Linked DNA regions of Saccharomyces cerevisiae S288C. Changing the gene in region 4 together with the main gene of any one other region gives a genetic interaction. Each region holds a gene or a part of one and is shown on either strand. Other genes may lie near its edges. The genes, in order: LOS1, SCS7, TRM1 and RTT10.

Region 1 (9,294 bases), on a different chromosome or scaffold from region 4:
GGTTAGAAGTGTTGCCACAGTTAATTTCTAGAATTCATCAACCCAATCAAATTGTTAGTAGGTCATTACTCTCCCTATTATCTGATCTAGGTAAGGCTCATCCGCAGGCATTAGTGTACCCCTTAATGGTTGCGATTAAATCCGAATCTCTCTCACGACAGAAAGCAGCTTTGTCCATCATAGAAAAGATGAGAATACATAGTCCAGTTTTGGTCGACCAGGCTGAACTTGTCAGCCACGAATTGATACGTATGGCGGTGCTTTGGCATGAGCAATGGTATGAGGGTCTGGATGACGCCAGTAGGCAGTTTTTTGGAGAACATAATACCGAAAAAATGTTTGCTGCTTTAGAGCCTCTGTACGAAATGCTGAAGAGAGGACCGGAAACTTTGAGGGAAATATCGTTCCAAAATTCTTTTGGTAGGGACTTGAATGACGCTTACGAATGGCTGATGAATTACAAAAAATCTAAAGATGTTAGTAATTTAAACCAAGCGTGGGACATTTACTATAATGTTTTCAGGAAAATTGGTAAACAGTTGCCACAATTACAAACTCTTGAACTACAACATGTGTCGCCAAAACTACTATCTGCGCATGATTTGGAATTGGCTGTCCCCGGGACCCGTGCAAGTGGTGGAAAACCAATTGTTAAAATATCTAAATTCGAGCCAGTATTTTCAGTAATCTCATCCAAACAAAGACCGAGAAAGTTTTGTATCAAGGGTAGTGATGGTAAAGATTATAAGTATGTGTTGAAAGGACATGAAGACATTAGACAGGATAGCTTGGTCATGCAATTATTCGGACTAGTTAACACGCTTTTGCAAAATGACGCTGAGTGCTTTAGAAGGCATCTAGATATCCAGCAATATCCAGCAATCCCATTATCTCCGAAGTCTGGGTTACTGGGTTGGGTACCGAATAGTGACACGTTCCATGTATTAATTAGGGAGCATAGAGAAGCCAAAAAAATTCCTTTAAACATTGAGCATTGGGTCATGTTACAAATGGCACCTGATTATGACAATTTAACGTTGTTGCAGAAAGTAGAAGTCTTCACTTACGCCCTAAATAATACGGAGGGACAAGATCTTTATAAGGTGTTATGGCTGAAGAGTAGGTCATCGGAAACGTGGTTGGAGCGTAGAACTACTTACACTCGATCGCTAGCCGTGATGTCCATGACCGGTTATATATTGGGGTTAGGTGACCGCCACCCTAGTAATTTGATGTTGGATAGAATCACTGGGAAAGTCATTCATATTGATTTTGGTGATTGTTTCGAGGCTGCTATATTAAGAGAAAAATTCCCCGAAAAAGTACCTTTTAGATTAACTAGAATGTTAACATATGCAATGGAAGTGAGTGGAATTGAAGGTAGCTTCCGTATTACTTGTGAGAATGTTATGAAGGTACTTAGAGATAACAAGGGTTCATTAATGGCAATCCTTGAAGCTTTTGCTTTCGATCCTTTGATCAATTGGGGTTTTGACTTACCAACAAAGAAAATTGAGGAAGAAACGGGCATTCAACTTCCCGTGATGAATGCCAATGAGCTATTGAGTAATGGGGCTATTACCGAAGAAGAAGTTCAAAGGGTGGAAAACGAGCACAAGAATGCCATTCGAAATGCAAGGGCCATGTTGGTATTGAAGCGCATTACTGACAAATTAACGGGGAACGATATAAGAAGGTTTAATGACTTGGACGTTCCAGAACAAGTGGATAAACTAATCCAACAAGCCACATCAGTGGAAAACCTATGCCAACATTATATCGGTTGGTGTCCATTCTGGTAGTTTTAATGTATTGAAAATCACTTAGTTGTATATAGCCTGTAAAAGTGTTGTATAAAAATGCATCTCATTCATTAATGTTTAGTTCCGAGCGTGACGTTACTAACTGCGAAAAAAGTTCCTTCGACTAGTAAATATCAAAGGCGAAAACATAAGTATATGGGAGAATTATAACAAGTTAAGTGATGATGATAGGATAAGATAATATAGGATACATGTTATATACAAACTCTAGATAATAAAGATGAAAAATGAAAAGGAAAAGAACATGCTTTTAGATAGTATGTTCACTGTGTTTTTGTCGTTTCCTGTCAAGTACTCGCTCGTTACGCATCTCATTTTATATTCTTTTTAGAGTTTAATCCTGGTGGTAACTGGTTTGTAACATTTTTGCCATTGGCATTAATAATAGATGGAATTGGCATAGGGGAGTTACTACCAAAACCTTGCTGGAAATTAGGGGGGAAATTTCCTTGTAGCATCATATTTGGATAAGGTGGCTGTGGCTGTTGTCCTGTTACCGGTAACATACCATTTGGTGGGATTGGGAACCCCTGTGGTAATGGTGGCATTGGGCCGTTAGGAAAGTTAGGATGCATTGGAAAAAACCCTGGAGGTGGGGGTGGTGGCATGTATTGCTGTTGAGGCAGATCTGGCGTTGCTGTTTCCTCTTGTTTTCCCTTGCTATTTCTTGTTCCGTTTGGATTTTTATTTTGCCTTAATTGCCTGTCTTCCTTCTTATTTACATCTTTAGAATCTTTCTGGAATTGAACGAGACCTGGTGGCGGTGGCATCATGCGTTGTGGAAAATTTGGTGGTACACCCATCACAGGAAATTGTGGACCCTGATGAGCAATTAGTCCTGGGGGTGGAGGAGGAGGAGTACTAGTTTCACTTTTACCTTTATTCAATAGCCCATTGAAAAATGCGTTGTTATTAGGAGGATGCTGGGTAAATGCCATTGGTTGCATTTGTTGCGGTTGCTGCTGGAATTGCGGAAGAGTCTGCATCTTTCCATTATCTTTGTCTGAGGCTGATAACAACTGCGATTCTGCATTTGGAGTGCTCGATCTAGATTCTTTGAAAAACGACATCAGTCTTGAACCACTTTGATGAGGTGTACTGTTGCCATCGTTGTTTACTACAGACACGTTTGACGATGGCACTTGATTATTATTATCTAATGAAGGCAACGAAGTGGCAGATTTATTGAAAAATGATGAAAACCGAGATGATGAACTTTTACCCAAATCTGAATTAGTTTCTAATTCGTTAACTTGTTCTATACTGGTTTTGGATAGGCTTGGCTGTCCAACAGGAATACCAGGTGTTTGTTGTGAAGATTCTTCCTTCTTATCTTGCCTCTTTAAATTCAAAAAATCTGTTATTGAACTAGGGCCCCTTGGAATGACCGGTCTTAAATCGGTGGGTGTTTCATGAGAGGCGCTTTCCCTGGGAGCAATTGCGGTAGAGTTACTGATTCCTTTAGATTTTGAAAGTTTTTTCAATTCTAATTCTTTCATCTTTGCCTTCCAATCTTCAAAATCTGCAATTGAATGGCCGACGTCACCTCCTAATTGAAGATTCTTGTCCATCTCCAGCATTTCTTGGTCAATCTTTTTTTCTTCATCATCTTGTTGAGATCTTCGTTTGCCTCCCTGCATGTTTTTGGTTCTACTCATTCTTCTCTCATCGTTTTTCCCATTCTTGTAACCAGCCTTCCAACTGCCTCCACCATTGTTCCCATTAAAATGATGGTTATTAGCATGCTTTTGATCTGGAGGTCCCATGCGCAATCGCCAAAACTTTCTTTTGGGTAAACTCCTCACAAGTTCCGAAATAAGTGGGTCTTCTTCGTACGAAGCACTTGCCAAAGATGGTTTCAAATGATAAAGTTCATTCATGGAGTATGCATATGTCTTGTATTGCAGATCCATTGGTTTGTAGTTCGTTATAGGGTCCGTCAAACTGCTGAAATTTAGCATGGCCGTTTTCTTATTTTTTTTTTTATTGCTTTCTTTATTGTTACCGCTCGTAGCAACAGAAATGTTAGAGCTATCAGTTGAAGATTCTACGCTACCGATTGGCTTCTCTTCTCTGCCCTTTTTGGCTAATTTTTGGAATAAATTTGAGATGGCTTGTTGCGATTTGTGAGTAGCGGCTGCAGTATCGCTGTCAGACAATTCACCTGAAAACTGGCTGCTTGATATAATTGAAGGGTCGTTGAGTTCCATTGTATGGGTTAAAGTCCTACTATGCTAGTTCTTTGTGTAGCTTAGAGACTGAAACATTCATATACTCTAATATCTCACCTGATCCTTTTTGAACCTTCCAACGATTTCTTTGAAATTAAAAAAACTAAACGTTTGTCATTCTTTACGTAATACATAGAAGTAATGGTATGTCACGTATAAATAATAGATAAAGAAGCACTTTTAGTGCCATTACATGACTAGCTGCTAAACCAAAGTGAATGATAAGTCTAATTACATATTACCAATTTAAATATTAGTATAAATATAATTACAACTTTTACTCTCGTTTTGCATTTTTTTTTTATTTTCAGGTTTTCTGCGCCTGAAAGCTATTGACCTTGCTTTAAAACAGAAATGAAATTATCTACAAACCATTTTTCGAATTGCTTTTGACCCATTGTGGTTAACATATTAACCAACTGAATCGTCAATTCCTGTGGTAATTGGATTTGTGGAAGGTAGATCTGAGTTAAATATTTTACACATTCATTCTCATTTGTGGTGGGGTTGCTGCTGACGATAAATAGCTCCCTCAGTAATCTTGCCAAATCATATGCCATTGTTTTGAAATTCCCTTCTTTGATATTGAACTTGTATATTGGATTGAACGGAATTTCAAAGATTATTGGGACACATTTCATGATGAAGTATTCGTTGAGACCATCTATTTTAAGGTTGGGATCTTTATTGATGTCGTCATTATCCAAGCAGGTCCCATTCCCAAAACATTTGATAAAATTGCACAATACATTGAGTGACACTTTCATCATTGATGTTTCCTGGATCTCTTGCGGCGTATAGGTGACCAAATCGTTTAATATGACCGGCAGGATTGCTCTGTTTATATCTGACAATAGTATCGAAGTGACGGAATTATTAGTAAATGACTGTAAAAATGTGCAGTAAGCCTTTTTCAATAGTATTTTATCTCTATACGAATCGGTGACCACGATATTCTTATTTACGGAGGTGGCTGTGACTGCAGTGTCTATAGGTTTGTTACTGCTTGATTGTTGGTCGTGTTGTTCATCAATCTCTTCGATAATAGAATGGACTTTGTTGATAAGCGGAGTAAGTAACTGGTTAAACAGCTGATAACAGTCTGTGTCCGTGTGAAACATATGAATCAGTTGAGATAAGAACCCAAGAAAATCAATCATCTCCCATGATTTTAAATCTGTGGACGATAAGATCAATTCAATCAATTTATTGATAAATGGTAAAATTTTATTACTTAAAATTGGAATTAACCTGGCAAAGGTAAACCTAGATGCATCGCGGATATTTTCGAACTTATTGAAAAAAGAGAATGTTACTAATATAACCTCAGCTATATTAGAGAATTTATGGATTAAAGAGTCATTGATTAATTTTTTGTTGACAACCATATTGTTGACCTGATTCTCAGGGACGAGACCAATGTGCAAACCTCTCGCTAAAGTACCAATAGCCATAAGAATGTGATGACATTCCAGAATCACAACTGGCGAAGCTCCTTGGGTAATACAACCCTCTAATTGTGTAAATAGCGGAGTTAATATCTGGTCCAATATATCGTAATCGATGGGGGTGTTGGCAGTGGCAGCAGTGAGCTCCTGACTGCTATTATTCAATGTGATTATAAACCCAATACCCTCAAATATGTACAACTGATTATCAAAAATTGTATCATTGTCATCCGTCCCTTGGGCGTTGATAGATGTTACTTTTATGTGAAGTAGAGGACTTATCTTATTAGTTATTTCATTAACCAAATTTTTGTTGGCAAAGAGGATTTTTTTCAAATTGATTCTTGTCAACTTCAAGAATCTTGTAAATAAATACCATGACCTTAGTCTGACGTTTTCTCTTTTATTGAACATAGCAAATGAGCTCATGAAAATATTCAATATTAATAGATACTTTTCATCATCATCAGTAGCATTTGCTGTGTTAGCACTAGTTGAAAATATGAAATTGTAGTTTTTCACAATTAATTCCATGAATAGTATTTGGATTTGTTCGTTATCAATGGCTAATAAGAAATCCTTCATCATTAACAATTCATTTAAAAATCGTACTAAAGTTAGCGAAGGTTGTGAGGTCATAATTTCATTCTTGTTCAAACCGAAATAGTTGTTCTTGGTACATTCACTTAAATTGAAGATTTGATAAATAGTTAGCTCGAAAATTTGCCAGCTTTCGTTTTTACAATTCATTAGGTTTGCTGAAATTTCTTGAGAAATGTTATTTAAAAACAGACTTGGGTCAATTACCACGATGATCTCCTGGAAATTTTTTAATTTAAATCTTACGGTTTCGTTGAATTCCTCAAAATCATCCTGTGTGACCTCGTCGTCTGAAAACTTCATTCTTTTAAAGCAAATTTGTTGGAAATTATCTAGAAAATCCTTATGCAATGGTACAAAATTTGGTGAAGATGCTTTATATTTTTTCAAGAAAGCCAGATAATTTGACCAGAATGGGAAGGTTTTTGCTGTTATTGAATCAAACTCATTATTCATAAATTCCAAAAGTATTGGTATTATTTTCTCCAATAATATGGAATCAACATTTGAAATGACCGATTGTTTGTATAATGTATCCAATTTTTGATCATCGTTGACTTGTTCAATAATGATAGTAAATTCTATGCCAAAGGAAGTAATCAACTTGGTCAAACTTTCCCAGACTTCTAAATTATCAAATGTAATAATTTGGGGATTCATTGATATGGCTTGATGATAGTAAGTCAATTCGTTGGTCAAATTGATCATATTCAGAAAAGCCAGTTTGTCCATTGGTTTCATTTTTTTAGAGATGATGGCCAGTATGCAATTATAACATGAAATTTTGGTTTCTTTAAGATTTAAAAATTTATAGATTAATTGCAGATAATAATTATTTGCATCAATAATTAAATTAATATCGATCCATGAGATAAAACTCCCAATACAATCCAAGGTAGAATTGATCAATCCGGGACATTGTGACACAATTTGTTCGTCCAGTTTTAAACACTGAAACCACACATTACTCAATTTCATGATATCGTTATCACGCATCCAATCTTTTATATTGTTATTTTTTAACTGAGATTCCTTAGACCTAATAAAGCTTTGGTCAGCAATCTCCGAATTAATCATCAAACAGAGCTTGTTAAAAAATTCAAGACCTAGAAGAATGTTACCATCGGTAGACGGGCTCGTATTGGAAATAGCCGAATCCACTTGGAATAGACTCATCAGATCGTCAAAAAAACTGTTCCACTGGTTTCCATTACAATCACTGTACATTAACATAAACAAAGTAGTCAGCACTTCAGAAATCTTATTCATTAAAAAGTCAGGCAGCTTAGTTTGCTTATTGCCCAAAACTTGAAATTTGAGCCATTTGGTTATTTCAAACTTTACCAGATTCAAACCATTTGGATTAGCGTTCACGCCCTCCGTCATCAATTCTATCAATGTGGACAGTCCGTAAAACTTCAACAAATCATTTGAATTCTCGTTGATGACCAATGATATAAAGATTTCCAATGCATTCTCTGATGATTTAATCCCATTTAGCAGCTCGATGGCTTGTCTCTTAGTGGCCACATCTGAGCGTGGATCGTTCACTGCATTTACCAGCTGCTGAATCCGTTCTAGCATTCCTCGATTTGACTGGAAACACTTGTTCTATAGGTTGCTTACCGACAACTTCTCAAACTAACTGATGGAATTTGAAAAAATTTTAGTTTTTTTTTGTTAGCTAATTTTTCAATTTTTCGCTTTGAGCCTGAAAATGATCCCACAATGAGTAACCTGCTAAAAAAAAAGCCACCTACACTAAAATAAGGAAATTAAATTAAAACTTCAGGAAAGAATAGCACAAAACCCAAAGGAACATACGATGAGCTGCCTGGTGTTGCCATTAGTAAGCGTAGGGAATATACCACAATTGAGTATTGACTGGCTGCTGAATTCACAAGCAAATGAATGGGAATATTTGGAGGCGTTAGATTCGAAATACCTAGTGGAATTTGTGGGACCATTAGACAGACCAGAGGATGGTAGCGACTCGCTATATAAAGACGCTGATATGAAGTATAGCAGCGCTTTGGAAGTTTTCTACAATAAGAAGCGAGGACTTTTTGCCATACAGCAACGAACACCACTCGTGTCCGTTAACTATCTGAATAATTTCATCGTAGAGATCATCTTGCCGTTCTTGAGCAAGTATAATATATCGGAAATATGCATTTGGGACTCTCTATATGCAATGGAGGATGAAAATGGTGTGATTGTACGTCCACAGGAGGTATATTCGCTCGGAGAGTTTTATTTCGACGATGAAGCTGAGCTTTTATCGAACCTCCATCTAAACGATCAAGAGTCGATGGTCAATAACTGGTTACATTTTACTCCTACCAGTTTCCAAGACAAGATATCCGTTGATCAGCCGATCTTCAAAATACTTTTCCAAATACTGAATGCGTCGCAGAGGCCTAAAGCCCTCCGCAGCATTAAGTACTGTAGTTGTTTGGCCAATGAGGGGGACAACTCATTAGATTCTCAACAGTTCTTACAATGGATAATCTCTCAAAAAGTTATCAAAAACGCGCCACCAATTGTAAAGTTTGTCAGGCCTATATCATGGCAAGGTGCATACGGAATGGCGGATGCAAGAGATAAATTTGTAGATTTATACAATTGAAACCGAGAAGTATATCTGTTTTCTATACAAGTGCATATATAGCCACGAACTTACATATACTGTTTCAAAACCCTTTGCTCAACGTTATCAAGACAAGTCTCATGCTGAATGATAGTCAAATCGTTAGCCATCGCATGCATTGCTTTGTCAACCTGTGATTGTGGAGGGCCTTGGGGGCCCTGAGGGCCACCTATCCCGGCCTGAATACCCATGTCCTGATCGTTTAACCCAATCAGGTTGTAGACTGGATTTAGCCCGAGCACAGAAATAAAATACCATGAAATGGAGCTAACCCATCTCACATCCAGGTCCTGACAGATAATACCGGTCTGTAACATCTCTTTGAATTTGGCAGTCAAAGGGAAAGGTAGTTGCATAAGAATAAATCCAGCAAAAAAATGGTTCACCCACCACATAATAATAGTTTGAGGGATGAAACTGGCCATATTACCCTTAGCCATGTTCATCATAGCATTAGACATACTTGGATCGTTGAAGGGATTAGGAACCTCTCCAGCTTGCGAACCATCCTGCTGCTTGGCCTTGGCTAGGTGCCTTTCCTC
Region 2 (7,179 bases), on a different chromosome or scaffold from region 4:
CATATGATAATTAAAACCAAAAAATGTTATGTGATTCTGAAAGGAAATGCTGTCATGTGAGTCAGGTGTAGAGCAGGTTAGAACAGTTTATATTACATAGTCTGAAAGGCACGTGAGAAAGTGCCATACCATTAGCCGAATACGTGAAATGTCTAAAAAAATACAAGTGAAAGAATAAAGTGCTAAAAAAACTATCAGGCTCTCAGAAGGCAATTTAGCCATATGTATACATATATATGTGTGTGTATAAACCTCATATAAGGGGCCCCAATGGTTTATCTAAAGGATATCCTATTAGGACTTGTCTGTCACACGCAAAACTTCAAATGACATAATGATGAGCACTTGTCAAATAATTGAGTAACTTCTTCGATATCTCTGGTATGTAAAAATAAGTATATCGAGATGAGCGATTGTATCTGTATAGAGGTTGGTTTCTTTTTCTTACCTTTCTCTTTTTATTTTTTTCTCGCATTGGTTCAAAAAAAAAAAATGATGGTTTAAATTTCGTAAAATACGAAAAATGAAGGGAAGGTCCCACCCGGATTCGAACTGGGGTTGTTCGGATCAGAACCGAAAGTGATAACCACTACACTATAGGACCTTTTTCTTCTGTTGTTAGTGTACACTAAAACTTCCGGTTTTATGGAACCTTTTTAAGAAAGATGGTCCCTATTTTAACAATATCGCAAGCAATGGATCTTGTACTGGTACGGAAAACCGTATATACTAACAAATCTTAGGTTTCTACGTCTGACTAAAGAAAGAATTGTGAGTGAGGTTTATAGTAGAAGCTCTCCTCATGACTTTGGGCTATGTAAATTGTTGATAATTAGAGGTAAAAAATAGTATTAATGAAGAAATAATTACTGATCTTCTTATACTAAATAAGAGAGGTATATAAAACACACGCCGATTGGTCATATTAATCATGACCAATATAATAGTGATTCCGGTAGTTACTATACATTTATGTGACGACTCATATTCCTCATATATGTACCTACCATAACATGTTCAACTAATAGGTCTTTAACACAGCTTCAGTATTGTCTGAGCTTCTCGTTTAACATTCCTTCTGCAATAGGTGCAATCACACTTAAACGTATACGAGGTGTACATTAATATACGATGTAAGCATTAGATTGTTACCATAGCAACTCATGTCACTATTAATTACTCTCGTTCCAACATAAATGCAATTGATGATTTGCGCAACGCAGATACAGATTTTACTTTATTCTTCGTGCCTAAAATGGACCATCGTTTCACTTACTAGCCGTTGTTTACTAAGATATAGTTGTATACGGTGTGGAGGATGATAAGATCATTGGACCAATATAACTATATAAATGTCGGCACCAGTTTAATGGAACCTCGAATGCAATTACTGATAACGGAATGGATTAAGAAATGATTAGGTATGAGGTACTCTTATAGTATGTAGAATTTCTGATTTGCTTATGTGTTCATTTATTCTCGAGAAGAACCCTTAGTATATTCTGTGTCCTAATATTACAAAAAGTCAATGAGAGTCTAGGGACTATCAGATAACTTCACTGTGCTCATCTTGATTCCTGTTCTAACGACAGTAACACAGGATACGGTTAGTATTTTTTTGCCAACCTGATCTGTGAAAGAAAAATGTACCTGTCAATTCGGTTCTTTTTTGAGGCCGCTTTTTCGTATAGTCGTCATCGATTGGATATTCGTTTAAGAAATAACGTGCTTGTTCATCGATTTCATCTATGATTCCATTCCATGTGTATGTATATATACGTAGTTACATATAATAATATAAATAAAGATTTGAAATAAATATGTCGCAGAAAAGAACTTTGCTCAAGATTTCATTGCTCGTAATGTTGTTTTTCCTAGGTTGACAATTTTGGACGAGGCTGACCAATAATTATTCATATTTCATTTTGGACAATGGGGCATCGGGGCCTAAGTAGGTGCCAAAAACTTCGTCCCAAAACCAGGATGTGACGCCAAATCCCAGTTGGTAGTTTTTATAATGATGTTCCAGGTGATATTTTTTCAACTTACGCATGAAGGGAGGCAATTTAGAGTGGTGCAAGAAGAAATGACATTCGTCATAACAGACATAACCGAAAAGACCGCCAGCAAAACCAGCGTAAGCCCAATAAAGTGGCAGCAGAGCAAATACCAACTTGTAAAATGGAGCACAAAGGATGACGAACAGAGTAGGTGGCATAACTAAACGGTACTTGTCCATGGGCAAGTAATGATGGCAACCATGTAGTAGAAAATGTGTGGCGAATGCGATGTTACTTTCAGGTAACCAATCATCGAAATGAAATAGGAAACGGTGAAGACCGTATTCAATCAAAGTCCAAACAAAGACACCGACACAGAACAAGAAACATGCAAATAGCTGGTTCATGTTCTTCAAAGCAACACCCATGTGGTACACAACTACAGGCAACCAAGCAACTGGAACAACCCACCAAGCTGTTTTAGTTAATGGTTCCAAGAAATTACCAAATAGCGGGGCAGACCCCTTACCGTAATGTCTTGGTCTATGGATTTGGTCAACGTAAAAATCTTTCTTGAAATCACTACGCAGAATCTGCATCAGCAAAGGACGGTTCAGATCCAAAAATTTATGCTTTTTGTAGTCGTTACTGTAGTCCGTAGCAATACTTAGTTTCTCCTCGGCGGGCAACTCCTTTACAAAAGTAGTGGAGTCAAACTCAGTACCGTCAGCTGACAACTGCACTTCAACCTTATGGTTCTTGTTAGTCAACAATCTCGCTGCCTCTTCGTCAGTTGCCAAGTAACCAATCAAATATTCGTCCTCAAGGATTTCATACGCGGAGTCGCTGTGTTCATGCACATCTGAGTCTTTCATGATCTCAGTAATGTCCTTACCAGCATAGTCCAAGATGGACTCGTCACCACCAGGGTGTTCGCTCAAAAACCTGGTCACGTCATAAATCTTTCTGTTTTGATAAGTGACCCAGCAGTCATTGGCAGTATTGTGTTCTTGTACCGTCTTTTTTGAAAACAGTTCCAAAGTCTTGGAAGTATTAGTCGACATCTTCGTACTAGTTTTAGCTTACCACCGCTTTTAGTGCCTGCCACGATAACAATAGAAAAAAAAACTAATCAAAGACAATAGACACAATAGCTTCTACTATCTAATACCTCTGTTCTTATACGGTTCCAAATTGAAAAAAAAATTAACTGCGAAAAGATGTCACACGTCAGTAAATCCGCGCAAAACCCCGTTATATTTCCGACGTCGTGCGGTAGTTTCTGCGCGGAACGGCCCCGCGGAATAGGCACATTTTCTTCCGGCCGCAGAAAGCTCTCTTTATCAAAAGCAAGACTGTTTTCGGCTATTGTATTATGAGAAGTTTGGTGTTTGTCCAACTTTCCCTGTTGTCCTGGGAAATATTCTGTGGGGAACGTAGCTTTGTGAGCATGAAAGCTATCTTTTCGTGTATGTACGTGTGATGTGTATATGTCTATGTATGCAGCGCTGAAGCCTTTTCAGGGTTGTTGTTGTTGTTGTTGTTGTTGTTCTTTGTCGTGGGCTACCTGCTCCATGTACAGAGTGTGATTAACCAAGTTCAGATAAGCATACATGAAGTTACTTAGTAATACCTGCTCGCGCAGTCCCCTCTTCGAATTGCTCAATTTCAAGTGACTCAGCCGGTATATGGCCCTTTCGACGTTAATTGGTAGACGGTGGTCGAACATGATAACCGTAGACACTGTCAGCAAAGGCAGTGGGAACCCAAAGGCACTGTCTGTGAATTGAACCGGGGAGTTTGGTTTGTCAGGTTTTTTGACGTCTGCAAATGTAAGCTTTCTTGGGGGCAATATGGAGGTATGTTTCAATGGTGGTGCCGCTGGAGCCTGAGTTTGAGCTGAAGCTTCAACTGGGGCTGAAGTTTGGACTGGGGCTGAATTTTGGACTGGGGCTGAAGCTTGAACTGGGACTGAAGTTTGGACTTGTTCTTGAGCTGGAGCTTGTAGTTGAGCTTTTTGCTCATCGGTATTCTCCTTTTGGACGTGTTTGGAGTGTTGTTGGTTGGAAATTTCTGTCGTATTGCTCCTCTTCTTGTTCTTTTTCTTTGCCTCCTCTTCTTCTCTGTCTCTAGAGTTACTTTTGGTACTACTTACACTAACGGCCGGCTGTAGTTGGGGCAAGCTCTCGGAATCGCTTTCCTCTTTCTTTTCTATCTCTATTGCGCCTTCCAATTGTGGTTGTAATGGTATCTGCTGCTGCGGCTGAGAATCTTTAAGGGTTTTTACGCTTATTTTTTGGGAACCATGACGGCTGTGATGGTGACGGTGAGGACGAGGGCGATTGCGCAACACAATGGGTTCAACCGGCTCCCTTCCACTTTTGTTACCAAGCTTTTTGCTTTTCCTCACGCGAACGTGCACGGCATCGTTATTTGGTATTGATGGTGACGATGATGGTGACGACGAGGGTGATGATGATGCATCATGCTTGTGGTGTGGCTTTCTTCTGAATAGGTTCGCAAAAGTTTTCTCGATTTTCTGTCTTGTCTGTGATGTGGCGGTGGAAGTACTTGAATTGTTCATTTCTTCTTTATTTGACACCTCCGTCTTCTCACCGCCATTAAATAGAGAAATATAATGTTTTTTGGAATTGTCGAGCTCCATTCTTTGTGAATCCACGTTTTCTTCATTTTCATCGTCCCCTTGGTTTTCTTCGTTATCGTCTTCTCTGCTCATTTTATTGTTCAACCATGTCCATCCGTTTCTTCGACGATGTCGCTTCGTTTCTTTGTTGTCATCCGTTGCGCTTGGCTTTACCATGTCTGTTGTTCCCTCTCTTAACTCTAAGTCTTGTTCTACTGTGTCATTTCGAACCTTGACGGGTACCTCTTCGGCTTCTTTCTCTATTCCCATTTCTTGTTCCCACTCGCCACTAGACTGTCTGTAATGATTATAAATGTCTTGAAAATCACCAATTGACCCAGGCGAACTCATATTCTCAGAATCCTCATCTTGCTGTCTAAAAGGGGATTTGTGCGGATCTATTTCGACCTTTATTGTATTCTTGGTCAATTTTAGACGTTCTTCGTCGTCGTTTTTCATTTCATCCACACTTTGTTCTACTTCTTTTTCTTGCTCTTGTGACCTGATTCGATAAGTGTTGAATCTACTCCTTCTCAGTGACGATCGTTCAGGCCATGTCATGGTATTATTGATGGGCATATTGGAGGCAAATTCACCATCATCCAAAGTATTCGCTTGTGAAGTTGAAAAACCAATATCTCCTTCATCATAATGCCCTTCCGGTTGTGGTTGATCTTTTTTATCTGAATATGAACCAGCCATACTAAGAGTTCTGGCTAATGTAATGGCATCATTGTCGGTTAGTCCTGCACTATTTGAGATCTTTGTCAGTTCTTCAGTTATATCTCTTAACGACACTGGTCTCTCTTTTATTTTGGAGATTCTTTCTTCGACTTTATTTACTGTTTCAGAGGCACTGTCTCCCTTATTATCGTCATCTTCGTTATCATCAAACTCTGTATATGACCTCCGCAATGTTGAAGGCCTTCGTATTAGTGACGCGTTTCCATGCCTTGACAGCCCCCTGTTCAAGTTGATAGTGTTGTTCTCCTTATTTTCATATGATTGTGATTCTTTATCCTCCCCATTATCCTCAATATCGTTATTTTCATTGCTATTCCCATCATTATCTTCACCATTGTCGCTTAGTTGTATATTTTGTAAAGTATCTTGTACAAGCTCTAGGAAATTATCAGGCTTAACGTTAGGGTGTTGATTGGCGGGAACCCATAATAAGTTTTTCTTTAATACGTTAGCATTTAATTTCCTGGATGGAGAGTGAACACCTTTTTTTATACCTAAGTAGTTACCTTGTTTAGTCTTATTGGAGGATTCTATCCCTGAGTTACCCCTCCCATGCAAGTTCTCTAGCGGAGTTGGATCGCTATATCGTGTGTTATTAACGGTGGTTGTGTCACTTGGCATTGACGCAGAACTGGATGTCGTGCCAGACCATGATCGTCTCCCACTAGATTCCCCACCGAATTTTATATCTAATTCTGGATCAATAAGTAAATCCATTGACCCAATCGACAATCTTTTTAGGTTTTTTACGCTGCGGATTTCATTGTCAAGGGACTGTGCAGCAATCAAAACTTCAGACTTCCGTTTATCCCTTTGACTAGCGATCGCCTTATCGCTTGATGTAGTACGCAGCATGCTCTCGTTATCTCTATTGGACATTATAAAAGACAGCTAAATTCTCCTTTGAATTGAAAATATGTAACCCACAAAACAAACCAAAACTAACTAAGACCTTAAATTCTAGGAGACCAAATAAAAACCTTAAAAAAAGAAAAACGTCGAAACCTATTAGATGCCACCTTCTCTCTACTCTTAGATCTGACAACTTCAATACCACTGACACGAACGACTTGTTATTGAGTCCGTAATACAAAGTATAGGTACTTTATAGTCCTCCAAATTCTTTCACCAAAACACCAAAACTCGATTTTTTCACTCTTCCGTAACAAAAGCCCGGTCGCTCGATAGAATTCCATAATAGTAGTGAAAAAAGGTTATAGTACATAGGAAATTTTAAACGGTATACAAGTACGTAAAAAAGGCTAAAGGGTTATTCTATAACCAGGAGTTCCTACCAGAGTTTGTAAGGTATCCTTCAGGGATATTAATCCAAGGACCAGCAGTGCGAAGTAGCACTTATTCCAGATTGAGACCAATTTGGAAATGCGTCCAGCTTTCTTGTCTACTACTGTGAAATGTAAATTCAATCTTGAAGGACCAGGAAACCCCATGATATTGCAAAGGGCATGCAGGATTATGCAGCACCATAGGTTCCCGCCTGTTCTTACGAATACAAACTTGGTTAACCCTCCAAAAAGTGTTGTGTATAAAATTTGGAAGCATGTTGTCAGCAGAATGGAAACAGTTGTCATGGAGCCTTCCTGTAATTGCTCATAAGCATGGTGTGCGTGCGCAAGTCCAAAAAAAAGCGATGGTTGCCAAAATAACTGTTGATAGCTTAGTTGCGAATGCGGTATTAGGTTTAAGTACGTAGTCAAAAGCATTGACGTGTAAAATATTTCCTCAGTTATTGGTGCAAATATAAAATTCCTGAAACTCCAAATATTCAGG
Region 3 (7,765 bases), on a different chromosome or scaffold from region 4:
GGATCGCCAGTAGTTGAAGGTACCCTAAATTGTTGATAGTCATTTCCCTGAGGAGTTGGAGAGAGAGCATATTCCATTTCACGGCGTTGATTATCAGAACTTTTTCTACTCGTTGGTGACGTATGCGCTTGTTCTGGCATTGCTAACCTCGGTGGAATTAAGACATGTAAGGGGGGCTCTGTGCCATCGCTATTCTTTGGAGTGAATGGCACAGAGGTATCTTTTGTCGCCAACGTGGCTTCTGGCTCTGATTTCATAGCGGTTGTATTGACCTCTACGTCCCTTTGCTTCACACTTTCCGGTATTTCAGAAAGCTTTTCTATATTTTCGTGGCTCTGTCGCTGTTGTTGATTCCGAATTTTCGCATGTTTCCTATCAAGCATCTCAGAAGTCAAGTAATATATGGAAATCATTGGATGATATGCCCGAGTTGGGTCTTCAAAACTCTCTGTTATGTTTGGCGCGTTTCCGTTATCACTGGATTCTGCGTTCATTTTGGCCGCTAAAGTCCAGTATTGTCTAGAGAGAAGAACGTAAGTAGGATCTGTGATTATACTGACCAAAACACTTCTTGTTTCCTCTACATCGTCAATAAATTCTAAACGGTACATTTCTTTTAAGACATTTATATCAAGCATTTCGATAGTTAGGGGAACTCTTTTCGGTAAGTAAGAAGGAGGGGGACCATTGAACCCTCTTACCATCCAGTGGTGCTCCACAACCTGTTTAAGTGTGGCTCTTCTTTTCGGATCTACTACCAACATTTTGGATAACAGTGATATTACTTCGATAGATAAATGTTGGGGATATTCAACCTTACCTTGCTTGATCTTTTCATGTAAAACGCTCGAATTTTCGTCGTCAAATGGCACTTTACCGCATACCAAAACAAATAAAACTACACCAAATGACCAGACATCTACTTCAGGTCCTGTATAAGGATTCGCTTTTAACAGCTCGGGAGCGGCAAAATACAGAGAGCCACAGAATGTATGAAGCTGCTTCCTAGAATCATAAATATTTGAAAGTCCAAAATCAATTATCTTGATTTCACTGGAATCTGAAATCATTATATTTTCTATCTTCAAATCTCTATGGACGATGTTGTTAGCATGCAAATATATTAAGGCGCTCGCGATACCCCTAGCAAACTTTCTCGCTTGGTGTTCTCGTATTGACCCATGTTGGATGATATAGTCTAACAGCTGACCACCTGAAACATATTCAAACAACATATAGAAATGATTTGACAACGTGCACATCTCAAAAAGTCTACATATGTGTGGATGATATAAGATTTGTCCCAAGGACGCTTCTCGAATAGTTCTTTTGTCCCTAGATATTTCCTTCTCTAATTTCTTCTGTCTCTCCAAAACATCTTGTTCATTTTTGGGTGGTGGCAGCATTTGTTCTTTATGTAGGAAAGCCTTTGTAGCACGGTTTACAATTTTTACTGCACAAACCTCATTAGTGTAACGATGTTTTGCCAGCTTCACTTTACCCATAGAACCTGCACCAACTGTTTCAACAAACTCCCAATCTCCTAACGATTTTCGATGAAACTGCTTAGGCATGCCCTGAGAAGACGAAACTCGACTCTGGCTGGTAGTATTTGGCTTTGGTGCATTCTCTCTCGATTTACCTTCAAGTTCTACTTGTCTCTCCTTTTGCTCTGCTTGATGTGAGTTACCATTATTGGCGTATTTGATATCCGCCGGGGGCATTAGCGGTGTGTTCTGCTGCTGCTGCTGCTGTGGACTTTTTCCCATCATTCTCAGCGTAGCGGGCGCCATAGTGCTTGGTTGTGTATGCATGCTGTTGCTTTCACTATTGCCATCATCCTGCTGGTTACCTCTGCCCATTGAGAAGGCAGTATTTACGTGATAATCATCCATATTCTACGTGAGCAAAAAGTAATCGTAATAAACTGTACCTGTTTAAAAGAAGTTGAAAAAAAAAATGCGTAATAGCCCAAAATCCCTAGTATATTCAGTTGCTCTAATCGGAGCAAAGATGTTTGAATTTTACTAATCAATAGTTGGAAAATGAAAGACCGATAGGGTAGGGGGGCGAAGGGTGACAACTAATTATGTTAACTAGCCTAGGTTACCGTATGTCCTTATAATAACGAAGTAAATCTCAAAAAATTTCAAATCACAAAGTGGCTCTAACTAAACCTGCTTGATATCGTATCTCGCTAATACACTTCCTCAACGCCATAATTTCTTGTTAACGTTCCACCAATATCAACTTCTTGTCCCCTTTCTTTCCTTCCGCATTGGCGCCGCGTTGGGTTCCCCGGCTTGCAAATAACGACGATGAGTATAGCTTATTATGTATGTAGGTAATAAAGGCAAGTTACATACTACGATCCTGTGGGAGTGGTGGCAAGCACTACTAGACAGTTTCCATAGCGGGGTTACGTTTGCTCAAGGTTTTGAACTCTAGTTTCTACATCTTGGCTCTCCGTTTTCTGTTTCTTTTCGGAGGACTCTTCTACGTCCTGTAATGCATCGCCTTGTTCTTCTATTTCGTCATGCTCTTTAACCTTTTCCACGGGCACATTCTCCTTATCTTCACCCATATCTATATCGCCATCAGCATCTACTTCACCACTATCTAGTTTTTCCTTCTTCCTCTGTTCAACAGCAGCTTGGTATTCATCTAGTTTATCTCTAACCGGACCCTTCAATGCCGAGTGTCCTATATGGTCCAAAGCACTCAGAACATCATCTACACTGCAGCTTTTTTTATCTTGACTCTTTGCAATTTCCCTTGCAAACAGGAGCAAGTGGTTAACAAATACTGTAGCACCACGCTGTAACGCTAGTGATGCGTCTTTATTTATCAGCAGCTTTTTGCCGCTTTGCTGTGGCACTTCGCGTGCCAAATTCACAATAGTGCTTTTAGGAAATAACAGGTCCTGAATCGTAATGTTCTCTTGTTCTTTAATATACGAAGTAGTGGGGTAATTCCCTTGGGCGTCTTTTCTCCAACCTTTTGGTGGCATCGTGTGTAAAAATATATGGTCTGATATAAATAAGCAATGAAAGGCTTGACTTCTATTTCAAAGTATTAAATAATTAAAAAAATCCTTCCTTTCACCTAAAACCTCTAGGTAATATTCTGTGGCTTCTGCTATTGTGCCGCTATGAATAACAATTTTAAGCTCTGATGATCGAATCTGGTTTTTAACGTTATTCCAATTTGAGCCTTTCTTTATTCGTCCAAAGGGATAAAGCATTATTTTTTTTTCATCGCATTCAATGCTCATCGCAAAGTTACAGATCCTGAGCAGTCATAAGTTGATACCTTTCCTCTTACAATGTAGATATGGAAGGTTTCTTCAGGATACCCCTCAAGCGGGCAAATTTACACGGAATGTTGAAGGCTGCTATATCCAAAATTAAAGCGAATTTTACCGCGTATGGTGCACCAAGAATCAATATTGAGGATTTCAATATAGTCAAGGAAGGAAAAGCAGAAATTCTTTTCCCTAAAAAGGAAACTGTTTTCTATAATCCCATCCAACAATTTAATAGAGATCTAAGTGTTACATGCATCAAGGCGTGGGACAACCTATATGGTGAGGAATGTGGCCAAAAGAGAAATAATAAAAAAAGTAAGAAGAAAAGGTGCGCGGAAACTAACGATGATTCTTCCAAGCGTCAAAAAATGGGAAACGGGTCACCAAAAGAAGCCGTTGGTAATTCTAATCGAAACGAACCTTATATAAATATTTTGGAAGCATTGTCAGCCACTGGGTTAAGAGCCATTAGGTATGCTCATGAAATTCCCCATGTGAGGGAAGTTATTGCTAACGATTTACTTCCAGAGGCTGTCGAATCTATAAAACGAAACGTTGAATATAATAGTGTCGAAAACATTGTCAAGCCAAACCTTGATGATGCTAATGTCTTAATGTACCGTAACAAAGCGACGAATAATAAGTTTCACGTCATCGACTTGGATCCTTACGGTACCGTTACACCTTTTGTAGATGCGGCTATTCAGAGTATTGAGGAGGGTGGTCTAATGCTGGTAACTTGCACTGATTTATCCGTTTTGGCCGGTAACGGATACCCAGAAAAGTGTTTTGCCTTATATGGTGGTGCAAATATGGTTTCTCATGAATCAACTCACGAAAGTGCGCTGAGACTAGTATTGAACTTACTAAAGCAAACTGCCGCGAAATACAAGAAAACTGTGGAACCGCTTTTGTCGTTGAGCATTGACTTTTACGTCAGAGTTTTTGTCAAAGTCAAAACAAGCCCGATTGAAGTCAAAAACGTTATGTCAAGTACTATGACTACTTACCATTGTTCCCGTTGCGGCTCTTACCACAATCAACCTCTGGGCAGAATTTCTCAACGCGAAGGTAGGAACAACAAAACATTCACCAAATACTCGGTTGCGCAAGGGCCTCCGGTTGATACTAAATGTAAGTTCTGCGAGGGGACATACCATTTAGCTGGTCCAATGTATGCAGGACCTCTACACAACAAGGAGTTCATCGAGGAGGTGTTGAGAATTAATAAAGAAGAGCATCGTGACCAGGATGATACATATGGAACACGTAAAAGAATTGAAGGTATGCTATCTCTAGCTAAGAATGAATTATCCGATTCGCCATTCTATTTCAGTCCTAACCATATTGCATCGGTAATAAAATTACAAGTACCTCCCTTGAAAAAAGTAGTCGCAGGCCTAGGTTCCCTAGGCTTTGAATGTTCATTGACACATGCCCAACCATCGTCCCTAAAGACTAACGCTCCATGGGATGCAATCTGGTATGTGATGCAGAAATGTGATGATGAGAAGAAAGACTTAAGCAAAATGAATCCAAATACTACGGGCTATAAGATTTTATCGGCAATGCCAGGATGGTTGAGTGGCACTGTCAAATCAGAGTATGACTCAAAGCTGTCGTTCGCACCAAATGAACAAAGCGGTAATATTGAAAAACTAAGGAAGCTAAAAATTGTGAGATATCAGGAAAATCCAACAAAGAATTGGGGCCCAAAAGCCCGTCCCAACACTTCATAAGAATTTTGATTAGTGTTAGAGCTAAAACGTAAGAAACTAAGGATCCGCCCGAGAACGGTATAATGGACGGAAAAGAATGCTTCTCTTTTGTAATATAGATGTTTAAAGTAATCAGGAGGGCAGTATGTATGTGTAAAAAATAAATAAATATATATATATATTTGAGGAACCAGATCTCAAATGAAAAATATAAGCCAGTATATTTTTTGCATTGTAGCCACTGTTGTAACCTCTGGGCATATAAATAATAATGTATAGCGCCTAGTATCAAACTAAACTCGCCATGTTGGTAGTGTTACACTCATTTTTAGCAAATTTTTTTTTCTTATCAAACTCATGCTTTTCTTGCCTTACTAAAGAAGTATACAGCACCAGGCCAACCTAAACAAACGCTCAATACTGCACTCCATTGAAAGATTTCTGGAATGAGCCTTCTACCTTCCGTAATTACCCACGATTCACCTATTCTACCGCCTGTATACCTCTTGATTGGGGCAGCACGAGCGGAAGATCTCAAAACTTGGCTGAAGAACATTTTACCTATTTAGAATTAAAAGAGTCTGTAAATATCTGTGATATGGTCAAGTGTCTAAAAAGTACAGACAAGGAAACGAAATAAAAAAAGAATTGTTTCGTCATGCAAGAGGAAAGTATGAAAGAAAAATGACTGGCTTATATATTAAGTGTCATTTAGTCGGAGAAAACACTATCATAAACAAAACCATGTTTTCTTTGGTTGCCTACTGATAGAGGGGTTTCCGCTTGCTGCATTTTCAGCAAGTAAAAATCAAGCTATTCTGGCCATTCATTTCTTGCACGGATACCATATCCCCTTGTTCACTCTTCTATTCTTCCCCCGCCCCATACGATCATTTTTCAGATCCCGCCTTTGTGCGGTCACCACAATGATTGAAGTTCCCTGCATCTTTATCTAAGCGACAAAAGTATTATCGGGTTTAAGAAAAAAGAAAAAAAGTATTTGTATTATTTAAAGTATACATTTTCATCTACCGGTTCAAGATAGTGACAAACAATTTTGACTACGACAATGGATTCTGTTGAAAATGAATATTGCTACGACAGTAATCGTAAAAAAAAGGGTAGAGAGTTTGAATACGTTTCGACATGCTTGTAAATAACACTCAATCAAAGTTTGAAAAACAAACTTTGGGGCTGATTCGTGTACCCAATCTGAAGATTCCGTAGCGTGCTTGATAATTTTCAAAAGGTCCTTTTTAAGATAACCTTGCTTGCTAAATGGCATCACCTTCTCATGCATAAGTTTTATTAATGTTTTGTGGAAGACATAACCACCCAAGGAAATACCAACCGTCCCCCCCACGGCACCGAAACAATATACGATAGAACCACTGATAGGTGACTTTCTTTGTTCATGGTACTCATGATAAAGATTTGACAGCAAGGTCAATATCATAGAGGAGCCCAAAAATGGCAGAGACAAACATATATATTGCTTCCATACTGGTAAATTCAAACTTACCCCCATAAGTGCCACATATAGTAACAGGGTGGCTCCGCTTAAAACAAATTTTAGCAAAAAATTCTGTCCTTTCGACTTCCAAAAATAAGAAACACTAAAGTAACCCAGTACAATGGAGAAAAAGAATGGGGACAATCTCTCTGCAAGTTGTAAAGTGCTTAAATTTAAAACAATGATGAAGTACGTTGTACCGAATGGGATGATGCACATTAATGCTGCAAAGCAAAATGAAATTCCTATCATTGTCCATATTAAACGCTTGTCACCTTGTAAGGACATTGAAATTACAGAGTTCATGTAAGTATCGCTTGTCTCTATCAAGAAAAATAAAATGCCACAAACGATAATTACAGAAAATAGTAGCGCTTGAATCATCGTATTATTCTTTAACCCTGTTAAATCCAATGAGGTCACTTGAACGAAACAAAGTAGGAATAGCGTAAGTGTCAATATTTCGTATAAATCAGGACTTAATAGAGTATTCTTGAATCTTTTCCATAATGTAGGCGTTGGGCGTCCATATAAAGTGCTCTTAACAGAATACATATCTGCCAGCATAATCGAGGCATTCACAAGGCAAAAAGGAACTGGTATTAAGAAGGCATTTCTCCACCCGCTACCATGAGAAGAATCAAACAAGTTCATCATAAAGGGCCCAATTACCACACCCATAGCAAATGTTATCATAGAGGCACTCAATGAGTACCGACTGTCGTTCTTTTGAGAAAACCGATTCATAATAGTACTTTTGAGCGCTATTAAGGAACCGCCCCCAAATCCTGTGACACAACGGGCAAAGATAAACGTCCAAAAATGGGCAGAACTCCAAGATAAATAGCCACCAAGGATAAAACTGAATTGAGCAATACACAACAACAATTTTACACTGGATATTAAAGATAGCTTCAAAAATACCAGTTGCCCAATAGCATTACTCAATAGGTATGCTGAGATGACTAAGGATAATCTCCATAACTCATGAAACTCCGAAGCAATTTTGGACGCAATTACTAGGATTATAGAACTGTCCATTGCAATAAAGAATAAATAAGTACACATACAGGATGAAAATATCCGTCTTCTCGTCAGATCATGTACAAGTTCATCAGATGATGTATTTTCGACATAAGGAGGATTCAATCCGTTCTCTACATCCCCGATGCTCTGGGGTATAGAGCCATATCCATATGAAGTGATTTCATCTCCGCTGACTGGTAC
Region 4 (8,991 bases):
GAAGACTCAGAACAGATTGGGTACTTTTACTTCTTCGTGGTTTCAGGCCGAAACCAGCAGTTCCAGTATTAGAATGACTGCTGTTCTTTGGACTGAGCAGCGTATTATGCACCGGACTATGAAAGGATGCTGATCTTTTTCCTTGATTGGACTTTACTCTTGTTAAAGCTGTCATATTCAACCCACTAATCGTTCGCTTTCTGAAAAGTGCATCAGAACTCTTGCATTTCTGAGAAACGTTGTGCTTATTAAAATAATCATTATCCAGGGTGCCATCATGTGTTAAAACTCTACGCAAACCTTTGAAGCTTGCGTTACTCTTTGCTCTCGACCTAGTCGAAAACTGTCTAAATGGCTTTGACTGGTGTGATACTGTTGACGCATTAAGAGATGTTACATCAGTGTCTGACTTCAAAGTCCTTCCTCGATGAACCATAATTATAGTTACTCAGTAAGGATATATGATATATCCCAATATCTATGTTTACCTGACCCGTAAATCGATAGAATGTGCTAGTCCATTAGATGTTTGGATTCCTTAATCATCGTGCCAGCCAAATCGCTATACCATCCGCAACTAGCTATCCTTGCGGTTACCCGTACAAGAGTAAGCTCGGTTGATAAAAACAACGTTGAATTAGTCGTTTTTATATCCATATAGATGTATATATATGTATAGATGTGTTTGTTCGCCTCATTACAGTTATACTTTGGTTGAGAATAATATTGCAGTGTTTTGCGTTTATTGAATGGCATTAGTGTTATTTGAATATTTTTTCTCCCATAGTAGTAACTCTCTAGTCAGGTCGTCCATCATTGATAGACTTTCATTATAACCGTTGTAAATCGTATCAACTTTTTCTACGAAATGCTGGTTTTCCACGAATCGTACAAATTCCTCTCGATCAGACTGATCTTCACTCAATTCCCATTGAGTTCTAGAAATGAACTCCAAAATAGCGGATACCCTTCTTCTCATTTCGTTTAATGAGGTCCTTTGAGGGGGTAATCTGGGCTTTACTGGTTTGTCGGTACCTATATCAGCACTCCTTCTATTTTGGTTGGTGTCTGAACTTGTATTGCTTCGACGAGTTCTGTTGCCCTTTCTTGCTGGTTTGGAAACTCTTTTAGAACCCCTCGAACTAGCTTTCCTTGAATCATCCTCAGAAGAAGATATTGAGGTTAGGGGTAGGATGGGTTCATCAGTTTTCTCAGTGTCTTGCGCCGAACCCGTAGAAGATTCCTTTTCTTGACTAGCTTCTTTTTCCACATCATTTGTTTTTTCCATTGATTGCTCTTTCGATGGTCGTAGGCTTTCTTTCATATCATCATTTGTTACCGAGTCCGGTTTGCCTTCCGTTAGCATAACATCCGTTTGTAATCGAGTGGTGCCGTTGTGATTGTCGGTATCACCTTGGTATATATCAGCATCATTTTCATAACTTTCAGGATCTTCTTGATGTGATGTCCTCCTGCTTTCTTTCAAGGCTTTTTCAAGCATTCTTTGATATTGCTTTTCTTCTCTTGCCATGAAAGTTGCCCTTTTTCTATCCAGTAGCTTCTTATCACTATCTCCAGGATCCAGTGAATACTGATCGGTAGAAGCATCATCCATTGAATTCCTCCTCCTCCTTCTACTTGACCTCGTGTTGCCGTCCTTGGCTAATGCTACAGCCGAAGCTTCATCTTCTACTTCATCTTCTTCGTCGCCGATATCGTCGACGTTATCATCGGTATTGCTGGTATTTCTGGGACTTTTCTCTGCTTCATTGGCGGCATGAGATTTACTTGCAGCTGCACTTCGTGCCTTCCTTCTTGATTGCCTCCTTTTCTCTTGCACAGGTTTATAGATTGACCTTGCTTCGCCAGTATCTGTGGTAAAGAGCTGATGTAACTCCGGTCTGCATTGCTCGCACCAATATTTATCAGGTGCGTTGTCTTGAGTAATACTCACACAATAACCGTGCTGCCAGGAACTGCACTGCTCACATTGAATGAAAAATCCGGAGTCATCTGGAGTATCGAGCTCTCCACAGATACAGCGAGTTTCGCCTTCCTCTTCCTCGACTTCCCCCTCTCCACCTTCCATAGGAACATCTTCTTGTTTTACACTTTCTTCCTGTACACTTCCAATCGCCGCCGTTGTTGTCGCTGTTGATGTTGTTGATATAATGTCTGTGGACCCACTAGCAATGACTTCCGCTTTCTCCATATCTTCACTACCCACAACAGGGCCTTTAGGCACTATTGCTGTCGATTCCATTACTCTTCTCTATACTCCTATATGTTTATGCTATCTTTTAGTAAGGTTACGCAAAGTAAACTTCGAAGGAAACAAACTATTGATGGTCTCTGTTGTGAACTTTGTACCCCTGTAAATACCCAGTTACATAAAATTCATATACGAAAACCAACAAGAACAAAAAAGAAAAAACTAATCAACAAAACGTTATTTTTTGATCATGCAGTGAAAAGCCACCAATAGAAAATTGAAAATAGAAAATGCAGCTGATTGTGCTGTGCGGTTTACCTAGTTTACCCATAGCGGAGAAATTTTTCAAAACTAATTGATTACGTTAAAGCCTGTCTGCGACGTGCTCCGTCCTATTTCCGCAAGATGATGAGGGTAATGCCCTTTATAACTGCTCAAAATAAAAAATAACCGCCGAGGTCTTTTTAATTATCAAGGTTATAAGAAGTGCCAGAAGTGGGTGAACTTAACTCAATAAAAAAATATTAGTGACGAACATCTATCAAAAATTGAAAATTGAAGGTACTGCTCAGAGAAACTGAGTCTGGTCTTGCCTACATCTTTAAGAGGAATTTGTTCTGGTGTATTATTTATACAGCCGATAACATTGATGATACTCTCAGGGTCATTTTCACGTAGTCGTGCTTTGGTGAGTTGTATACTACCCTACGTACTTTTCACCGCTTATGTTTTACACTGGGGTCTGAATGATAGATTTAAGCCTAGCATACACATCGGCGTCTCACAAAAAACGACGCTGCTGAAAAAAAAAATGTAAGAAAAAAAAAGTGGAAAAATATGAGCATGAAAAAACTTCTGCTAGCGGACCTCATCGTTATTTAGCTTCTCATTCCCGCCAATTGAAGTTGCTCATTGAAGAAGAATAAGTGATTAAAATGAAGGACTTGTCTCATTATGGTCCTGCGCTATGTGTTAAATTTTACAATGATTATGTTCTAGCTGGTTATGGGCCTTTCATCCATGTCTATGACTATCATTCGGCTACGTTGATTAACAAATGTAGGCTATTTCACTACAATAAAGTTCATGGACTTAGCCTTTCTAGTGAAGGGAAAATTTTGGCCTATGGTGCAAGATCAGTAACAATAGTGGAACTTGAAGACGTTTTAAAGAAAGAGTCATTGGTGGATTTCGAAAGGATTAACTCAGATTGGATTACCGGTGCTACATTCAGCTTTGACAACTTGCAAATATATTTGTTAACATGTTATAATAAAGTGCTAATTTGTGATTTAAATTGTGAAGTTCTTTTTAGGAAGTCTCTTGGGGGAGAAAGATCTATTCTATATTCCGGTATAATTAAAGTTTTCGGTCCGGATAAAGTATATGTTAACGCTGGTACTGTAATGGGCGGTGTTATCATTTGGGACCTGTTCTCGGAGACAAAAATTCATAACTTACTGGGTCATGAAGGTTCTATCTTTTATGTTAATTTAAGCAACAACGGAAGATATGTTGCCAGTTGCTCTGACGACAGATCAATTAGACTGTGGGATTTAGAAACTGGCAAGCAGCTGTCTGTTGGCTGGAGCCATACGGCAAGAATATGGAATTTAATGTTTTTTGATAATGATTCAAAACTAATAAGTGTTTCTGAAGATTGCACATGCCGTGTATGGAACATTATCGAATCACGAGAAAACGTTGCCGAATTATCCATATCTAACGTTTACGAAGTACATTTAATCAAGAGTATATGGGGCGTTGATGTGAAAGACGACGAAATGATAGCTGTAACCTCCGGGAATGATGGTAGGTTAAAGCTGATTGATCTTCTTCAACTGAAGAGACACGGCGATGAAGAAACATCGTTCAGTCTAGATGATATCGCAAAGCAATGTGGCGATATTTTCGAAAAGAATGAAAGTATCAAGGGATTTCAATGGTTTTCATTCGGTGTAATTGCTATCACTTCATTGGGTAAAATACTTAAATACAGTGATGTCACGAAACAATGGAAGTTGTTACTAACAAATGAAAAATTCAACTCGTATCCAATTACAAATGGGATTCAAACGCAAAATATCGCTGTCTTTTCCAATAATAAAAGTGACATCCTTCTTATCAAATTTAGCAAAGATAGCGCTGACATAATTGAGACCGAAGAATTCCATTTAGATGAGCTTTCTAAGACAAATAACTGTCTCGTTACAGAATACGATGATGACTCCTTCCTATTGACTTTACAATCCCCAAATCCTCGAGAGAAGTTTGTATGTTTGGAAATAAGCCTTCAGAACTTAAAAATTAAAAGCAAGCACTGTTTCAATAAGCCGGAAAATTTTTCTTCCTCATGTTTGACCTCCTTCCGAAATCATATTTTAGTCGGCTCACGTTTTAGTACATTAGTAATCTACAACTTACTTGATGAGAGCGAGGAGCCCTTCATAATTAGGAGATTAAGTCCCGGAGACACTACAACCTCAATCGAATTTGTAGAAGATAAAGACAACTCTGCGGTCTTCTCAGTAACAAATAGGGATGGCTATTATGTATTTATTGAGTTGACGAAAAACAGTTTGGAAGAGGGTCCCTACCGACTAAGTTATAAGGTCTTGCATTCTAATAAGATGATGAAAGGTTTCTTGGAGGGCGCTTTCTTTAATTCAAAAGGTGAATACATTACTTATGGGTTCAAGTCCAGCTTGTTTTATCTCTACAATGAAACCAACTGTTATGAACTAGCTAGTGAAGTTTGTGGTGGTTCCCATCGTCTGTGGAATCTCGCAAAAATTACTGATGGCCACGTATTAATGTATATTAAGGCATCCCGATTTCATTTAAGGAAAATTTACAACTCCATTGTGCCTGAAACTTTAGAAAATGGTGTACACGGAAGGGAAATCAGAGATATTTCAATCTGTCCTGTTTCAAATACCAACACGAATGACAATTTTAAGGATGGGCATATATTCTGTACTGCATCTGAAGATACTACAATTAAGCTGGGATATTTTAACAATAGAACAGGGAAGGTGCAGAATTTTTGGACACAAAGAAAGCATGTGTCTGGATTACAACGTTGTCAGTTTATAAATCACAAACTAATGATATCATCTTCAGCTAGAGAGGAGTTATTCTTATGGGAATTGAACGATAAGTATAATAAACGACCATATATGACCATACGACAAGCTTTACCTGTATCCACAAATAATTCTGATCTAAGGATCATGGATTTTGATGTCAAATTTATATCACAGTCAGGTGACTTCTTATTAGTTACTGTTTATTCAGATTCAACAATAAAGATTTGGCACTATAGGGAAAATCAGAATAAGTTTGACCTGATCATGCAAGGTCGTTATAAGACGTGCTGTTTATTCAACGTCGTATTTATTGCACTGAAAGAAGAGCTCCTTGTTGTCATTTCACCAACTGATGGACATTTAGTGGTTTATAATATAACCGAGTACGTACCATTTTCCGTTGATCCGATTTCTGGCGATTTGGTTGACCACAAACTGGACGCTACTATCTCAAATCTTCCCGCACCTGTAGCGCAGTTGCCGGTACATCAATCTGGTGTCAAGTCCCTAGACTATGTTGCTAATGCTACAAGAACTTCCGCCACAATTTTGACAGGGGGTGATGATAATGGTTTAGGGTTAAGCAACCTGAAATTAGATGACTCGAATAAAGTAACGTTAAAAACAAGTGACTTTATCGCTGCAGCAGCTTCTTCGACAATAACGTCCGGTATGTTGATTAATGGTGGCAAAGAAGTCATTACCACATCGGTTGATCAAGTAATACGCGCTTGGGAAATTACCGCAGGCAAGCTTTCACTGGTAGATAAAAAGCGTACCACTGTGGCGGATACAGGATCATTAGAAATCATTTCCAATGATGAAGATGCTGATTCTGAGAAAACGTTACTGATCGGAGGTGTTGGTTTATCAATTTGGAAAAAATGATACAAAAAATTAACATATACATAAAAGAATATTATAGATATGTATTATTTACAGATTTTAGAAAATGAGAATATTTTGTAAACACCCGAACGGAGAACAGCGAAGAGATTTACATCTTTCAGCCTTGACGCTGTTTGTGTTTTTTATTCGACTTGCAATAAATGTATACTCTTCCCTTTCTTCTTACCAAGTAGCAATCACTGCAGAACTTTTTGACAGATGTTCTGACCTTGAAACCTCTGTTAAAAACCAAAGGTCTGTTAGCTGCAACAAGAGCTGGTTGCGGAGCTGCAACAGATAGGAGGCTGGGCACTGTGCAGGCCCTTGTTATCGTTATGGGGGACGGTTTCATGTGCAAAAACATCCTTGGCATAGTTAGGCGGAGAGTCTGTAAAAACATTCTTTGAAATCCTTTCGCTTGCTGAAAAATTCTGAGATTTGTACTATGAACCGTAGCCGTTATATGCGAGTAGATCGAGGCTATATCCCAATGCCAATAGTTCCACGATTCATTCCCTTTCTATTTGGAATAAGTGCGAAGACAGAATTTTTAATTTCGGCTTGGGTGAGAGAAAAAAAAAATCATAGTTTCGTTACGCAGATAGTAAATAACTAATACATAGATAAAAGCACCACCTTCTACCGGACCGTCGTCATTCTCGGCAACACCGTTGAAGTGTTTATGACTACGCTTTTTTTATCCTCACTTTTGGAATGCCCTTGAACTATGGACCTTTCACTCCCTATTGACAAATTCAAAAGACAAAAAAGGGAAACACTTGGAAAAGGTAACTTGACGTCCAATAATACACGCCGAATGAGGGCAGACTATGTCTTTCTTCCAACTGCCGTGGCAGTTGCGTACTTATCATTCTTATGTTCTTACAGTGGGATTCCACCATCATGGTAACCCGGTGCTTTTTTTCCTTGTGGTACGATTTTGGCTATGAGAAGAGAAAGAAAAGACAGAAAAAAACACGATCTTGAAATTAACTTTACCAGAAAGTGGATCTTGTGGTTGTCCGAAAGTCTACAAAGAGATTCAGTCACAACCGCAATCATACTCCATCCCTTCGTCACAGCAATAAATTAATCAGTTTCTTTGCCTTTGGTGGAAAGTAAAAAAAACTAAACTTGGTTCAGCACAGCGCTATATCTACGAGAACACCGTTGCCCACTCTTATACATTATTTTCACAGAGTCACATTCCCCACTGAATTCTCTCCTTAAGCTTCCTTTCTCTGTTTATTTTACCAATTTACAATTTCTAGAACTGATAGTCTCTGTACCTTTCCTTTAGATACACATACGCTTCATTTCTTTTGAACATTGTATTCTTCTATTTTCTTCGTTCTTCCGTTATTTGATATTTGCCCCTTTTTAAGTCTTCTGACTCACCTGTTCTGCTTTACCAATTAGGCTCCTTAATTGGTTCAACTGTCCATTCCAGCCTCATATTTTTCACTTTATCTTTCTTCATCATTTTTTTTGTCTAATTAATATCCGTTTCCAACTTCAATTCTCAAGGACACTCTTTTTTTTTTTGAAAAAAAATATCATATTTTTCTTTGCTAATACTATTTTATTTTTTCAATTCTGGTCGTTGAAGCCTTTTCTATTCAGATATTTCCTAAAGAAAAACAAAGAACTATCGTTGTATTTTTTTTTTTCTTCACCATCACATACTACTTCAATTGCATTAAAACATGGTGGTTTCTTATAACAATAATAATAACAATAACAATAACAATAACAATAATAATATCAGTAATAATAATAACAATAATAACATGTTCCCTCCTTTTCCTTCTTCCGATGACTTTGCAATGTATCAACAGTCCAGTTCTTCCGGCCCTTACCAAGAAACTTATGCGAGTGGCCCTCAAAACTTTGGCGATGCTGTGTATCCTATGAATGGTAATTTTACTCTTTTACCATCCGACTTTACACGAGAGCCTAATGATTCGTTCTTTTACGAGAATGACGGAATTTTTGATTATCAGCGTATTCAACAGCAACCAACTCAATTCCAGACAAAGCAGCGAAATGATTCACAACAGCAACGGTTTTCACAGGAACAAAATTTCGAAATTGATAACGAAGTTGTCCACAATAACAATCGTTATTATGAATATGAAAGGTCATCAAATGAAGTCTCTCCTTTTGATGATGAGAATCCAAATGTGTTATCTGATGGCATGTCACCCACTATTATGGCAACTGCAACTGCAGTAACCAACGCAAATGCGCCTTTACCAGTTAATGCACAAGCCAATAATCCTTTGAATTTTACATCGGCCCCAAGTAGAACTGTTTATTTGGGTAATGTGCCACCAAACCTAAGCGTTAAAGAGTTATTGGATCATGTCAGAAGTGGTGTCGTTGAAGACGTCAAAATCATACCTGAAAAGATGTGTGCATTCGTTTCGTTTATAGATGAAAGTGCTGCACTATTGTTCCATTCAGACGCAATTTTAAAGCGCTTGAACATCGGTGACAGGGATATCAAAATCGGGTGGGGGAAACCAACTCGAATTGATCCTATTGTAGCGGCTAGAATCTCTACGGACGGTGCCACAAGAAATGTATACATTGGCCGTATGACGATTGAAGGCGAAGAATCACATTTATCTGAGGAGCAATTGAGGGTTGATTTAGAAGAATATGGTGAAATTGACTGTATAAAAATTATCAAGGAAAAGGGAATCGCCTTTATTCATTTTGCGTCTATTTTAAATGCTATAAAAGTGGTTACGAATCTGCCAATTAGAAATCCATACTATCAAAATAAGAGAATATTTT

What was found.
Region 1: mutations in RTT10 (region 4) and LOS1 together harm fitness more than expected from each alone (negative genetic interaction), as found in Saccharomyces cerevisiae (2 studies listed by BioGRID).
Region 2: mutations in RTT10 (region 4) and SCS7 together harm fitness more than expected from each alone (negative genetic interaction), as found in Saccharomyces cerevisiae (2 studies listed by BioGRID).
Region 3: mutations in RTT10 (region 4) and TRM1 together harm fitness more than expected from each alone (negative genetic interaction), as found in Saccharomyces cerevisiae (5 studies listed by BioGRID, with this or other methods).

Annotation. Positions count from the first base shown.
Region 1 is NC_001143.9:48,443-57,736, reverse strand, and holds LOS1 (Ran GTPase-binding protein LOS1), read right to left. Parts: upstream 7,687-9,294; coding exon 4,384-7,686; downstream 1-4,383. Other genes in the region: phosphatidylinositol kinase-related protein kinase TOR2, read left to right, coding at 1-1,802; EAP1 (Eap1p), read right to left, coding at 2,135-4,033; ADD66 (Add66p), read left to right, coding at 7,928-8,731; ER membrane complex subunit EMC3, read right to left, coding at 8,782-9,294. UniProt on the Saccharomyces cerevisiae protein: tRNA nucleus export receptor which facilitates tRNA translocation across the nuclear pore complex. Preferentially interacts with tRNAs with mature 5'- and 3'-termini and does not distinguish between intron-containing and spliced tRNAs.
Region 2 is NC_001145.3:807,714-814,892, forward strand, and holds SCS7 (fatty acid alpha-hydroxylase), read right to left. Parts: upstream 3,065-7,179; coding exon 1,910-3,064; downstream 1-1,909. Other genes in the region: YMR272W-B (uncharacterized protein), read left to right, coding at 3,376-3,483; ZDS1 (Zds1p), read right to left, coding at 3,520-6,267; RCE1 (CAAX prenyl protease), read right to left, coding at 6,651-7,179. UniProt on the Saccharomyces cerevisiae protein: Ceramide hydroxylase involved in the hydroxylation of sphingolipid-associated very long chain fatty acids. Postulated to hydroxylate the very long chain fatty acid of dihydroceramides and phytoceramides at C-2.
Region 3 is NC_001136.10:688,830-696,594, reverse strand, and holds TRM1 (tRNA (guanine26-N2)-dimethyltransferase), read left to right. Parts: upstream 1-3,333; coding exon 3,334-5,046; downstream 5,047-7,765. Other genes in the region: serine/threonine protein kinase KIN1, read right to left, coding at 1-1,895; DPB4 (DNA polymerase epsilon noncatalytic subunit), read right to left, coding at 2,420-3,010; COX26 (Cox26p), read right to left, coding at 5,381-5,581; VBA4 (Vba4p), read right to left, coding at 6,062-7,765. UniProt on the Saccharomyces cerevisiae protein: Dimethylates a single guanine residue at position 26 of most tRNAs using S-adenosyl-L-methionine as donor of the methyl groups. Required for the modification of both mitochondrial and cytoplasmic tRNAs.
Region 4 is NC_001148.4:196,693-205,683, reverse strand, and holds RTT10 (tRNA (34-2'-O)-methyltransferase regulator RTT10), read left to right. Parts: upstream 1-3,147; coding exon 3,148-6,189; downstream 6,190-8,991. Other genes in the region: TCO89 (Tco89p), read right to left, coding at 1-436; CTI6 (Cti6p), read right to left, coding at 743-2,263; mitochondrial 54S ribosomal protein bL36m RTC6, read right to left, coding at 6,308-6,589; MRN1 (Mrn1p), read left to right, coding at 7,896-8,991.